2 linked regions of the Tribolium castaneum genome follow. The protein of the gene in region 2 interacts with the protein of the main gene of each other region in a pairwise test. Links are inferred from orthologs where the notes say so. Each region holds a gene or a part of one and is shown on either strand. Other genes may lie near its edges.

Region 1 (6,282 bases), on a different chromosome or scaffold from region 2:
TCCAAAAACGCCATATTTATAAAACCTAAAGAAGAAAATGTAACGTACTTAAAGAGTTAAGCTTAAGAAAGTTTTCGGAAATGAAGAAGAAGGCAAAAAAAAACAGAAGAAGTTAAAGGAAACGTTTGAGAAAATTTTATAAAGTGAAGAAAAAAGATGAAAGAGTTGAAAATAGTGAGAGATTAAGCTTAAAAAAAGCTGTCTGAATACAATTTCAGAACCAAAACAGAGAAATTAGTTAATGTGACAAGAACTACTTTGTCTACAAACAAGCTAAAATAGAAAAATATTGAGTTTTATAAAGCGAAGAAAGTTTTAAGGTGAGACAAGGTAAGTAAGTTTCTTTGAGGCGAAGACGAAGATGATGAGTTAAGTTTAAAATAAAGGTCTTGAAAAATGAAGACCATCCTTAAATAAGACTTACAACAAGCAAATAATGAAAACTATTAAAAAAGTATCTCAGAGAAGTTAAAGAAAAAAGTATAGAATTGGTACGACTTTTGTTGTATATGATCGAGCATATTAACAAAGAGATATTTAATTAATTAACAAAAAGCTCTAAAAGGACTTAATGCTTTAACGTCCATTATATCCATTATGTTGGTAAGATATTCGCGTTCAATCCAGGGTCTCTGGTTCGAATTATTGCGAATCCAAGTTTTTTTTAATTTCGTAATATTGCGCAATTTGATGTATTACTGTATTATAATTATATGTATTATAATAGCTAAATAGCTCAGTTAGTAAAGAGTTAGATAGATAATTACAAGGTTTTGAGTTCGATTCCTATCGCCGCCTTTTTTATTGAGAATGCAGTTGTTCTTAAATCTGAACTGGTGGGATCTCGAGTGGCCATAGAGATTGACGGGCAACTGAGTGCTGCCAAATATTCTCAAAACATTTCTCGGTTTTAGGACTCTTCCATCTATTCATGACTTACAGTAATATCGAACAACAATGACCTGTCCTGTTGATTCGCCAAAGGCTCATGAGTCGAAGACGAATTCAGGATTGATGGTCGTGCCGATGATTCTCCTCGATAAACACATACCTATAAACGGTATAAGCTGTCGTGAAAGAGGAGATGCTGTAAGAATAGATCGGATTGTAAGGTTTTTTGGGTGCTTTTAATGTAATTTTGTTTGATTTTGGATGATTTTCCCGTGTGCCCTTTTTCTGGTGGTCTATTGAGTTTCGAGTATTTTTTGGGAGCATAAAAAATTATGCTCTTTGATTTGGTGTTGTTTTTCTCTTTTTTTTTGCATGCGCCAATTGGTCTGGTCCAGAAATAAAAAGCCATTTTGGAGTGTCTAAAAACACGGTATGTTGTAAGTTTTTTAGAGTGCTCGTGAGATAATTTTACATGATTTTGGGAGATTAACGGTTTTTTCGTGTGCCCAATCTTTGGTGGTCTACACATTTTTGGGAACTGTTAGGGTGGATAAAAATTAATGATTTTTGAGAGGTTTTAGGCCCTATTCAGTTGTTTTCTTTTGGGCAAACAGCTAAATTTGTAAATTTTGCCTTGTTTTTTAAGTCGCTTTAAGTTGTTATTTATTGATTTTTCCTTGCGCCAATAGGCTTGGTCCAGAAATGATCAAAGCTGTTTTGAGGTGTGTGAAATTTGGAGATTTGACAATGGTTTTAGAGCAGTTTTGAGGTAATTTTAATTGATTTTCGCATGCGCCAATTGACTTGGTCCAGAAATGAAGAGCTATTTTTGGGGTGTCTAAAATCAAGGCATTTTGTAAGTTTTTTAGATCTTTTTCGGATGGTTACTTTTGGGAAAACTGTAAATTTGTAGGATTCTACCCTGTTTTTCTTTTGGTGGCCTACATATATTTGGGAACTTTTGGAGTGGATAAAAATTAATGATTTTTGAGAGGTTTTAGGCCCTATTCGGTTGTTTGCTTTTGGGCAAACAGCTAAATTTGTAAGGTTCTAACATGTTTTTTAAGACGCCAAATGTTCTGGCCCAGAAGTAACATTCTATACTCTACTTTTATATGTAAGCGATTCTCTACCACACACCACTGAGTTGGTGCGCCAGTTTTTTAGCACCCGGTACATAAAAATTTCGCTAAAATGTTTTGTATTTTATATTTATATTTGTATATTAGCGCAAAAACTAAGTTTCAGCGATTTTGCTGGTAATGTTTTATTCATATTCTTATACAATTATTCTTGTGGTGTTTAATTTTATTCACTTTGTTACTTGCTGTTGTCGCGACCGAATAAACGCCTTATAAATAAAATCAAAATTTTACGGTTTAGAAGCTTCAAATTCGTTGGCTAATGATATTAAATATTATTGACATATTGTTTTGATTTTGTTATACTTTATTTTTGTATCTTGCTACAAATTGTAGTAACAAGCCACAAAGTTAAGTGCATTTTTTTTCATGTAAGATTTTAAATATGTGGTACTTACTAATAAATAACATCTTGTATTGACTTTGTTTTTATTTTATTTTTAATGTCTTACTTCAAACTGTAGTAGAAAAAGATACCCTGAAGGTAAGTGTATTTTTTTATTAAGAACATTTGATTTTTGTTTTGTGTTTTATTTCACAAACCTCCACGTGGCTGTTCCTGAACAAGTTACTTATTAATTTAACTAATTAGAACAATCTTTATATGTACTGTGTATAGCTAGTTGCATTTTTACAGGCGTAAAATTATGTTTAAATAATAATAAACTAATTATTTTTGACTCTCAGCGATGAGGTCGTAAACAGGTTGGAGCTTTTCAGCACCTGTAGCCATAGTGGCTTAACTTTCATTACGTTGGTGCCGCTTGGTGCCGCTCCAAATGTCACAAATTTCAAATTACATAACGCGGGCTTTAGCACCAAAACAAAAAAATGAAGCCTTCTTCATCCCCCTGTAACGCCTGTCTGGACCCCAAACTATCCATAATTTCAGTGCTGTGCCGCATTTGTTATGACAACGACAAAGACGAAGCTTTGATAGCCCCCTGTCATTGCAAGGTGCATTCCCTACATCTCCCATTGATTTTTAACAAAAAAAAAACCTGTAGGGTACTGTAGCATTCGTCCACAGGAGTTGTCTCGAGCGATGGTTAGCCGAATCCAACACCACAATGTGCGAACTGTGTCATGTTGTCTTTCGAACCGAACGTTCCCCCAAATACACTTCACAGCAGTCAATTTGGCGGTGGTTGCGGAGCCACCGGAGCCCCGGGGGCATCGGTAGGGGGGTCCGGAGCGATATTATCGCATGCACGGTTATAACCCCCGTTGCTATAATCATAACTTACGTCTGCTTGTTTTCTTCCGATTATTACAACCAGAAAAAATTTATTATGGTCCCGGCTGCTCGTTGGACTTCTGTCTCTCTTCTCATAATGATTGGGATAATGCTGATTGGTTATTACTTGTGGGTTTATTCAGTTATTCGGCTTCATTCACGAATGTGGTACAACTGGTGGCAAAGAGAATGTGTCGTGAGGTACATACCCCCCAGTACGGCCCATATTTGCTGCCACAGCCCCCTTGAGACAGCCAACCCAAACAATACCCCTACTGAAGACAATGAAGACGCTAGAAGTAGAAACGACAGTGAAGTTGAGCAAAATAATGAAGAGGTAGAACAAGGGGGCTCCGAACCAACTGTTGTCATTGAAATGCCTGAAGACGAAAATAAAGAAACGACTGTTTGAGCAATCTTATTTATATATTTATTAATTTGTTGCATATTACAAGAGTCTCGTATAATATATTCCCTGATTTATCACGCCTTTGATTAATAAATAACTAATTTCAATTGAGAGAAAAGTGAGGTTAGGTTAAACGTCAAACGTTTCAAAACAATGCTCCTAAAGAGGAGTTCACAAGTTGTGTACTTTATTCCAACAATTTCCTCAAAACTTGAAACTAATTGATAAAGCAAATAGTAATTTTTGTAGAAGCATTTTGGAAACAATTTGAAGTGTGGCTCCATGTTCTTTGTTTATTTTATACGTTAGGTGTAGTTATAATAATGTGGGTCATGTGTCCCGTAGACGGGCCTTTAGAATCATCCTGAAATGACAAGTGACATTTCACAACTCTGGCACTTATCTCAGCGGTGCGTTATTAGTGTGGTCTTTTTCTTGCACACGGGAACTCTGGCGACGTGTGTCGTCTCTTATTGCAACTTTCTCCCAGTATGACGTTTGCCTTTTCGTTGTGTTTGTGCTTCTAATCTGATAAAATAATTATTTTGAGTTAATTGTTGTGTTACATTTGTGTGTAGCGTTCGTTAGTTGTGTTGAGATCGTCTCGTAGAATAGTTTGAGTGTGGTGACACCTCATGTGATAAAAATAGCATTAACGTCATTAATTATGTTTAATTAGTTCCCCATACAATACAATACATGACTAAAATGTGATACAACAATCGTAAGACTGAAAATAGGTTGTTATTCAATCGAAGATGAGTGAAAACGAAGACAATGAATTGGACCCTCGAATACAGATCGAACTCGAGAAGCTCAACACCACCACAGATGAAATCAATCGACTAGAAATAGAATACGATGTAAGCCCCCATTTTGTACTTTATTTTTGCAGGTAAATTTTTACTTTAGCTACTTCTGGATTTTTGAAAATTTTTTTTTTGCATTTTGCTTTAAAAAGCCTCTAGATCAAAGATATGACCATGAAAGTTTGTGCAAATGCCCCGTTTTCGAAAAATTCGACTTTGAATGACCTTGACCTAGACTTTTTAAATTTTATTAACACTCTAATAAATGATATTAGCCGTAAATATAACTATAAATGAGGCAAGGCGCCTACAGATGATAGCCCACAGGCTGGGGCTTCGCCCCAGCGACCTAAAAATAAACATACCCCACGGACGATTAAACTCGAAAATGTTGAACTCGAAACGTGGAATAGTGATTTTTATGGAGCTACAGCGCGTACAGGTCGTAGGGTACAGGCTGGGGCTTCGCCCCAGCAAACTAAAAATAAACACCCCACGAACAATTAAACTCGAAACCGTGGAACTCGAAACGTGGAATAGTGGTTTTTATGGAACTATGTTGCGCGTGGCAACTAAAAGGAAACATACCCCACGACCAATTAAACTCGAAAACGTGGAACTCGACACGTGGAATAGTGTTTTTTATGGAGCTAGGGTGCCGTACAGTTCGTGGCAGGAGGCTGGGGCTGCGCCCCAGCTAACTAAAAGGAAATATACACCACGATTGGTAAATTAACCTCAAGAACGTAGCACTCACAAAAAAATACCTTGTTCACCACTAGTAAGTAAAATAGTAATGGAGTGGTGTTGTTGGTAAATTGCATGAAGAGAAATGCGGGAATGCATCCCCACTTCCGTCAATCAGCCAATCAGAGCACAGAGACATAAATTCAAATTGCAAAATATGAAAAAATACTTTTTAATGAAAAAGGTATAATACGTCATTTAAATTCATTCTGGGAATACCCGAAGGTGTTATAATCATAACAAACACGCAGGTGCGATTCTTACCTGTTGAAGCTAAACAATAACAACCAATCAGAAATAAGCACACGCAACGCATGCACACCCTGGTGGCGAACGTTGTATCCCTTAAAATCAACAAAAATGGCGATTCAAGTGAAATGAGTGAAAATAAAAATTATTTTTGTAATGTTATTTTCAATTTGCACAAGAAAATTCATAGTGTACGGTCATCAGGGCACTCAGAGGAATCGTTTGGCGTAAGTTTCAGCTTGAAAATCCAGAAGTAGTTAAAGTAAAAAATTACCAATGTTTCTTGTGTTAAAATCACAAAAAACAATTTTTCTAATGAAAAATGAACATTTACAATATTGTTGATGTTCTACCAGCCCCAGTTAAAATTACGATAGTGGCGTTCTCTGGTGGTTCATTCTTTGCGAAATGGCGGGAAATTTAAATGTGACATTAAGCTGTTACTTTACATGTCTTATATCATAAATAGGCAACTTTTGAACTATTGAAACATGTTTGACAGTATTTTAGGCTAAAACACAGTAATTATTCCTCAAATTTCGTAAAGAATCGGCTTAAAAATTTTGTGTCTTGACATTTTACTAACACTGTACTTGAAAGCGACAACAGCCTAAGTTTATATGTTTTTTCAAAAAAATAAATAATAATTAAAAGTGAACAGTGGAAAAAGTGATCAGCATAATGTTAGAACAACAATGTATTAAGACCAAATTATTTATAAAACATAGTGACCACTGGAAAATTATTTTAATTTTTTTCACCTGTAACGACTGGACTTTTTGGACTTTGGTAGTATTT
Region 2 (7,201 bases):
TTTATTTATGGGAACTACGTTGCATAAGAGAAAAAATTGGAAATTTGTCAACAGAAACATTGAGAATACGAAAAACAGGTGCAATTATAAATAAAAATACACTTTACATAAGTTTCTTTCAACTTTTTAGAAAAAACTTCAATCTCTGTCACGTTAGAAAAAGTCAAGAATCATAATAATTAGAGTTTAATTATTATCACGATAGTGTAAGTAGTTCAACATTATTACATTACTTGATCTACTCTTGAAATATAAAACTATTTAAAGCAATGCATTTTGCTAAACATTCCACTATTATCAGTTTATAAACACACATGAACCCGAACTTATTGACGTATTTCCGACCATTTCAACTATTTTTAAGTTATGCTAATTAGTAATAGATATACAGAATCTTAATTAATTAAGAGAACTGTGGCTAGTTCCTCGCTTAGACGTCATTGAAAGCAAAAGTGGTTTTGCTACACAGATAAGGAACCAATAAAATATTTTTGTTCAAATTACTCAATAAATTGTAATAAACAAATATTTGAGGGGGAAAACAATTAGGGCAGGCCAGTTGGGACCTGCACTAAGAACACCCCGAATTAAAATGATAATATTTTAATGTTACTTAAAATTGCACTTGAAAACTGCCACAAGCAAAGAATTCCATTTACCTGGAACTCTTATTATTTCAAAAAATTACTGAAAGAGATAAAGATATTAAAAAAATCGTGATCAAGTGTATTGTAAATTTTTTTGTAAACGTATGATTTCTCTAAATTCGTTTGCTTAGTCCTGTGACAATTCAAGATAAAGGCGGTTGGGTAGAGCAGTAGAATGATGCACATGAAAAATAGTTTGTTAAAGAAAAATTTGGTCTTTTGAAGGAAAAGTAACACGTAATGTAATTTAGACACGTTTTGAAATCATTATTTCAGTAATTAAAAAAAATTTAATAATTTTTCTCGAAATCTGCTCTTCAACTGTAGACTCCCCACTAGTTTTTTTTATCTTGTTATTATAATACATAGTACCAATCAATCATTTGAATTTATAATTAGAGTAAGTTTTTATGGCTTCTTTTCTTGTATGGCAAGGCTGATTATTATAATTAATAAAACTGAAGAGTCAGTTAATCAAATTTCGAACGGTAATATTTAATTAGACCACGTTTTTGCCTCTAGATTACCAACTACATAAGAAAAAAACGCATACATTCAAATGAGTACATGTTGACAAAAAATCTATTGGCATTATTGAGCTATTGGTCATTCTTCTAATTTGTTTCAGGTGATGGCTAGGCATGGAAGTGTATATTATTTGTATAAAATTTTGAATTTGATATTTAAATACTGGCAAACCTTAATCACACAATCACTTAGTATTTATTATGATAAGAAATAGACTTATTTTTCCACTTTTGTGTCAAGAAAAACATCAATAAAATCTAAAAGTACACAATAATTGTAGTAATAAAAAGTAACAAATTAAAGACTGTCTTTGTTAAATGGATATAGCAAAATCACTTTTAATAGTGCAGTTACATTTATTATGCCTTTGCTAATATTCTAGTAAAAAGCCTTTATGACTATTTAACACATCATAAATCATATATTTCTTAAGCAAAGCAAACATGTTTGAAATACTTAAGTCGCGGCAGTGGCGCCCTCTCAACCACGTGCTCCTTTTGCCGACCTAACGGTAAACAAATTGTTTCAAATTAATAAACTACGTGGTCGGATTGAACTTGTCCAATTATTAAACCAGATGCTTGACTAATTTGTCAGGTCAATAGGAAAAACCACAACCCTAATTGTCCTAAAAACCAAAACTACGGTCTCCACAAACCCGCTTGCAGATGTATACAAAGTCACGTGGCGTCTAGGTTATCTACACATGTGCAGGTACACAATTGGAGCAATTGTGCACTCACCTTGTCCTTCTTGTCTTGCCGAGCGTACGGGAAGCATGGAATGACTGCAGTGACTCTGCTCGCGGACGCAATTTTGCACGCATTTATCATGATGAGGAGTTCCATCAGGTTGTCGTTAACTTCCCCGCTGCCCGACTGCACGATGTACACGTCTTCCCCACGGACGGACTCCCCAATTTCCACGCTAAAATAAAATAATAATAATAAGTCGCAATTTAAGCCAAGTCAATAAGCAAATAATTTCCAAAGCCCACTCACCATGTTTCCAAGTTGCTGAATTTCTTCGTAACCACTTTGCCCAAGTCGATCCCCAGCCGGTCCACGATCCTCTGGGCCAGGTCGGGGTGCGAGGTCCCGCTGAAGACTTTAATGTTCGGCATTCTGCTCTGGAGGATCAACGAAGACTTTTCCAACTTTGCCCGCAACAAGCTTTTAGCACGTACGGGCTGGGAAACGGGCATAACTGCAAAACGCGCAGCCAATCAGAAGCGGGGTCTAATGTTATCGGCAAACAACGCTCCAGAATGATAAACCTTGTGACGAAATACTCCCTGCTTATCGAAGATTTCCGTCGAAAATATCGCCGAAATTGTCAACAGAAATCGCGCGGGGGGGCCCTTACGTCATCGTTGCAGCAGTCCGAGGGAAAATCCCCGAATATTTGCGAGATTTCGGCCGATTTGGCGCGCGCGTAAATTCCGTAAAGTTGGCTATAATGCTATTGAAAACAAGTGACATTTCTTCATTTAGCATTTCATAATTTGCCTAACTTCAGTGAGAAATTAAAAGTGTGAAAATCGATCTTTAGCCAGTGTATTTTTTACTTTTGTCAACAAATCGCTATTTTTTAGAGCCACGGTTTATCTGTTATGTTTTACTGCATTTAGGAACTTCCCCACCAGAATGGCTAACATAGCAGCACAAAGGATACGACGAGAGTTTAAAGAGGTTATTAAAAGTGAAGAGGTAGGAACTTCGCAAACACTGTTTTTCTGTTATGTCATTCTAACTCCTAAACGCCACTTACCGTTCTCGGTTTCCTCGGACATTTCGAATTTTCACACTTGAAATTGTCAGTACACAACGTAAAATATTGATTACTGAAAAATGCCCCCTGCCATAAATTCAAAGCGAAGGGGTTATCACTCCAACGTCATTTCGTAACAATCAACAAACTTGGCTAATACGATCGTGCTTGTTTGAAATTTAGGTAGCAAAATGTGCCATCAAAGTGGAACTCTTAAATGATAGTTATACAGAGCTCAAAGGCGAGATCACGGGCCCCCCGGACACGGCCTACGAAGGGGGCACCTTCGTATTAGAGATTAAAGTACCTGAAACATACCCCTTCAATCCACCCAAGGTACGTTTCAACATAACCAGGAAAAAAAAGACTAAGAGTTTTGTAACAGGTCAGGTTCATTACGAAGATATGGCACCCGAATATATCATCAGTAACGGGCGCTATCTGCTTAGACATTTTAAAGGACCAATGGTGCTTTCTATTACGTGGTAGTATTTGTTATTAAATGAAATTCTAGGGCTGCAGCTATGACGCTGAGGACGGTGTTGTTGTCGCTCCAAGCGCTGCTCTCAGCTGCGGAGCCCGATGACCCACAGGACGCCGTGGTGGCGAAGCAGTTTAAGGAAAATATAGAAATGTTTCAAATGACGGCCAGACATTGGACAAATGTTTACGCAGGCGGTAATTTATGCAGTTTGCAATTAGGACGGCGTGACGCTCTGTTTGCAGGTCCCCATGTAAATAAAGAATGTGACGATAAAATAAAAAGGCTAGTTGATATGGGAGTGGAGGAGCACCAGGCGCGGGTCGCTTTGTCGTCGTATAACTGGGATATAGAAAGAGCAACTGAACAGTTATTTAGTTAGTGAACTATTTTAATCCGCCATTTTACTATATTCTCTCTACACTTTTCCAACAGTTGGTTATGAAACGCAGTTTCATTTTCTACCCAATAGATTACTGACTTAAATTATTTTGAAGGTGTACAAGATGAATAAAAGGATTGTTTGCATTTACCTTATGTCTCAGTAATCACTATACGAAAGTCTTGTTTTGGCTCTTGCGAACTAATTTCAACTTTTGTCAATATTGGTGTTTGAAATTTATTGATGTTACTGATGCTTATCGTTAGTTCTTTCGAGTACAAAGTCTTTCAATTAATTACGGTTTATTCTTGCTAGTGAAAACCACCAGATTAGTTTTTTAGCACTTCAAGTATGGTAATTGAATGAAATGCTTTGTATAACCACTTTCCAATTAGTTACTGTTTTTATTTGTAAATCGGCGATTGAATACTGTTAAAATAAAATTTTAATCTTGAATATACAGGCACTGAGGTGAGTTACAACCCTAAGACAATCCACGTCCATTTGAAACTCAAATACTCCATGAAAATAAAAGTTGCGCATTAACTCTTAATTTATGCACTGATTATGCAACAGATTTACATAAGTAGCACCACGAAAGGTCGAGACTCCTTCGGTACTATTTCAAAATAGATTTAAATTCAATTACAATCACCTATTATTAGTCCAGTCATTGAATAATTTCAATGGTCCAGTCAAATAAGCCTGTAAATCGAAATGTTCAAAAGCTCGCTTTTTTTATATAAGTTACATGGAGCAGTTAAAAACGTTTAGACAAAGAATTTTTTAGTTGAAGAAACGAAATTAAAGCGTTTTTTACAGATTATTCAAAATCGCTGAAAGCTAGAAAAAAAAGTTTTAAACAAAAATTGTAAAGCCGAAAATTTTGCATAAAAATGTTCACTTGACTGTTTTTGATATTAATATTAACAGAAAGTTAGGGCGGTTAAAATAATATACATATACTGTAAAATCTTGTCATAACACTTGAAAAAAAGGTTGTTTTTTGTTAGTATTTTGGCATCGCTGCGAACATCTTTAGCTTTTTTTGCAAAATTTTTATGAAAACCTATTCAAATTACACCAAAAATTAAGGGTTTCTAGTCTTTTATAAGCAAGAATTCCTAGGAAATCTGGGCTTATTTTCGACCAAAAAAGAAGAAAAATTGGCGGAAAATGTATGGTTTTTCCCGTTATCTTAATTTTTTTATCTAATTAACATGTTTTAGAAATTTTTCGAAAAAACGAAGATTTTCGGTAGTTTTTATTCGAAAAAAAAAATCAGGTAGATACATTCTGTGTTTTTGGTGGCAACTTAAAACATATATAACAGGACATAAGTGTAAAAACCTAAACCCGTCCTGGCTAAATCAGGACGGTTGGTAACCTTAGATTAAAAGTAATTTGTTAATTTATCATTTTTAGAAATATGCTGCGATTTCACCTCGAGCAGATTTTGCGGTAATTTTATATTGTAATAACTGTGAGTGTTCCAGATATTGAAATGATTCTTACATGAAAAACTTATTTAAGTTATTAACTTCATTTCATATCGAAAAATTCATTACACAGGACGTTACAAGAAAATGTAATTTTTAGTTTCTTTTTATCAAAAGTCAACCTTGTGTAAATACGTAAAACTGCATTATTTACGGTGGAATCTTTTACAAAAAAAATAAATTTCTAGCTTTATCCAGAAAGAAGATACGGGATGTAATCGCAAAATTTGTCCAATGTTAGGTTTTTGTAAATTTTTACTAAAAAGTCTTTTTGACCCCTTCTCGGGAGTTGGAACAACCTTTGTGACTCCACAGTAATATAAAAAACGCAAGTTTTTTCCAACTTTTCGATTTAAAGGCTTATTTGACTGCCAGCAGGGAGGAAGTTCATAATCGTGAATTATTTGTATTTTTTATTTTTATCAGTTATCAGATGAGTTATTTTTCACTTAGTGGTTACGAAAAATCCGCAAAAACATTTCCGTGTGGTTATTTTTGCGTAAAAATCTTATGCAAGGACGTGAAGGTCGTTGACGTTGAAACGTCCTTGAGTTTGACGTCGCCATTTGACATTGACAGGATAGTTTTTTGAGGTTAGGTTGTAAATTTATTTGAAAAAAAACCCAAAAAGTAATGAACTTGGATGACTACAACCACGGAGGTAACCATAAACTCGTTATTCCGTGCGAATTATCACACAAGTCAACCGTTTCAGAAAATGAGATGGAAGTTGAAGGCTCTGAGGACTACCCCTTGCAGATAATCTCCCCGCGCGTGGAGGAGATCCACCCCTTAGCATTAGTAGCAATAAACGTAGATAATAACGAGCCCCCCGCCACCTACAACGACGTGGGGTTCCCCCTAGTGCCACAAGCCAACGAAATCGAAAGACTGTCCCCCACCGAGTCAGTGGCGAGCACCCCCCAGACCTTCGACGAGGAGAGCAACCAGTCGCGAAAGCGCACCTTCGAGGACGAGGAGCGCGAGGAGGACGGCTCCGTGTGCCCCATTTGCCTGGACGAGTGGACGAACACGGGCCCCCATCGGATATGCGCCCTCAAGTGCGGGCACCTGTTCGGTGAGCAGTGCATCACCCGGTGGCTGAACCAGAACTCGCGCAAAACGTGCCCGACCTGCAAGGAGAAGGCGCGCCGCCACGACATTCGCTACATTTACGCCAAAAAACTAACAGCAATTGATACAACTGAACTGGACAATATCAAAAAACAGCTGGACTCGGTGACCGAACAGCGCAACAAGTTCCAGACTGAGTTGGCCACGTGCGCCTACCGCGAGCAGTTGCTGAGGCAGGAGATCGCCCAGCTCAAGACGCAACTGAGGCAGAACAATGTTCCTACTTTCAACCAGCCCATGGTGGAGCGCGTCAAGCTGTACATGGACAAGGCGATGGAGATTTGCAAATTCGGCGGAAGCCGGGTTTTTGACGCGCGCTGCGAGCTGGACCTGCTCATGGCTTCGATGAAGTCGCCCACGAATTTGTTCGCCGGGTTCGGCTTGAAAAAAATAAACATTTCGGGGTACAGAACAATCGCGTTCATTCCAGTCCATACGTTGCAAATTAGAGACATTTGTTTCCACAAGGAACAGAACTGGGTGCTTACAGCGTCCATGGACAAGACCTTTAAGGTCATAAACAACCACGAGAATTCGGTTGTCCACCAATTCACCCATCAAATGCCCCTCTGGTCATGCTGTTGGGACGAAAACAACCCATACGAGCTATACGTAGGGACGCAAGCTGGGTCGGTTATAAAATACGACATTCGGCAATTAACCGAGGCCGTTTGTACCTTTTCCATAGAAGGGGACATGTCTCCGGTGGTTTCAGTCGCGTCGATCCCGGCAGCCCCGGGCGAAGCCCTGGCGCAAGGGG

What was found.
Region 1: the proteins of Ubc4 (region 2) and E3 ubiquitin-protein ligase MARCHF2 interact in binary tests that used the Homo sapiens proteins (3 or more experiments, as listed by UniProt). The link is inferred for Tribolium castaneum from reciprocal best matches to the Homo sapiens genes UBE2K and MARCHF3.

Annotation. Positions count from the first base shown.
Region 1 is NC_087395.1:3,975,744-3,982,025, forward strand, and holds E3 ubiquitin-protein ligase MARCHF2, read left to right. Parts: upstream 1-2,723; 5' UTR 2,724-2,864; coding exon 2,865-2,990; intron 2,991-3,040; coding exon 3,041-3,682; 3' UTR 3,683-3,691; downstream 3,692-6,282. Other genes in the region: pcs (SH3 domain-binding protein 5 homolog), read left to right, coding at 4,438-4,542. UniProt on the Homo sapiens protein: E3 ubiquitin-protein ligase which may be involved in endosomal trafficking. E3 ubiquitin ligases accept ubiquitin from an E2 ubiquitin-conjugating enzyme in the form of a thioester and then directly transfer the ubiquitin to targeted substrates.
Region 2 is NC_087394.1:31,292,178-31,299,378, reverse strand, and holds Ubc4 (ubiquitin-conjugating enzyme E2-22 kDa), read left to right. Parts: upstream 1-2,465; 5' UTR 2,466-2,821; coding exon 2,822-2,884; intron 2,885-2,945; coding exon of another isoform or gene 2,946-2,967; exon of another isoform or gene 2,968-3,099; intron 3,100-3,128; coding exon 3,129-3,281; intron 3,282-3,330; coding exon 3,331-3,413; intron 3,414-3,459; coding exon 3,460-3,623; intron 3,624-3,671; coding exon 3,672-3,808; 3' UTR 3,809-4,264; downstream 4,265-7,201. Other genes in the region: Prps (ribose-phosphate pyrophosphokinase 1), read right to left, coding at 1,919-2,102, 2,177-2,381, 2,946-2,967; E3 ubiquitin-protein ligase RFWD3, read left to right, coding at 5,941-5,968, 6,023-7,201. UniProt on the Homo sapiens protein: Accepts ubiquitin from the E1 complex and catalyzes its covalent attachment to other proteins. In vitro, in the presence or in the absence of BRCA1-BARD1 E3 ubiquitin-protein ligase complex, catalyzes the synthesis of 'Lys-48'-linked polyubiquitin chains.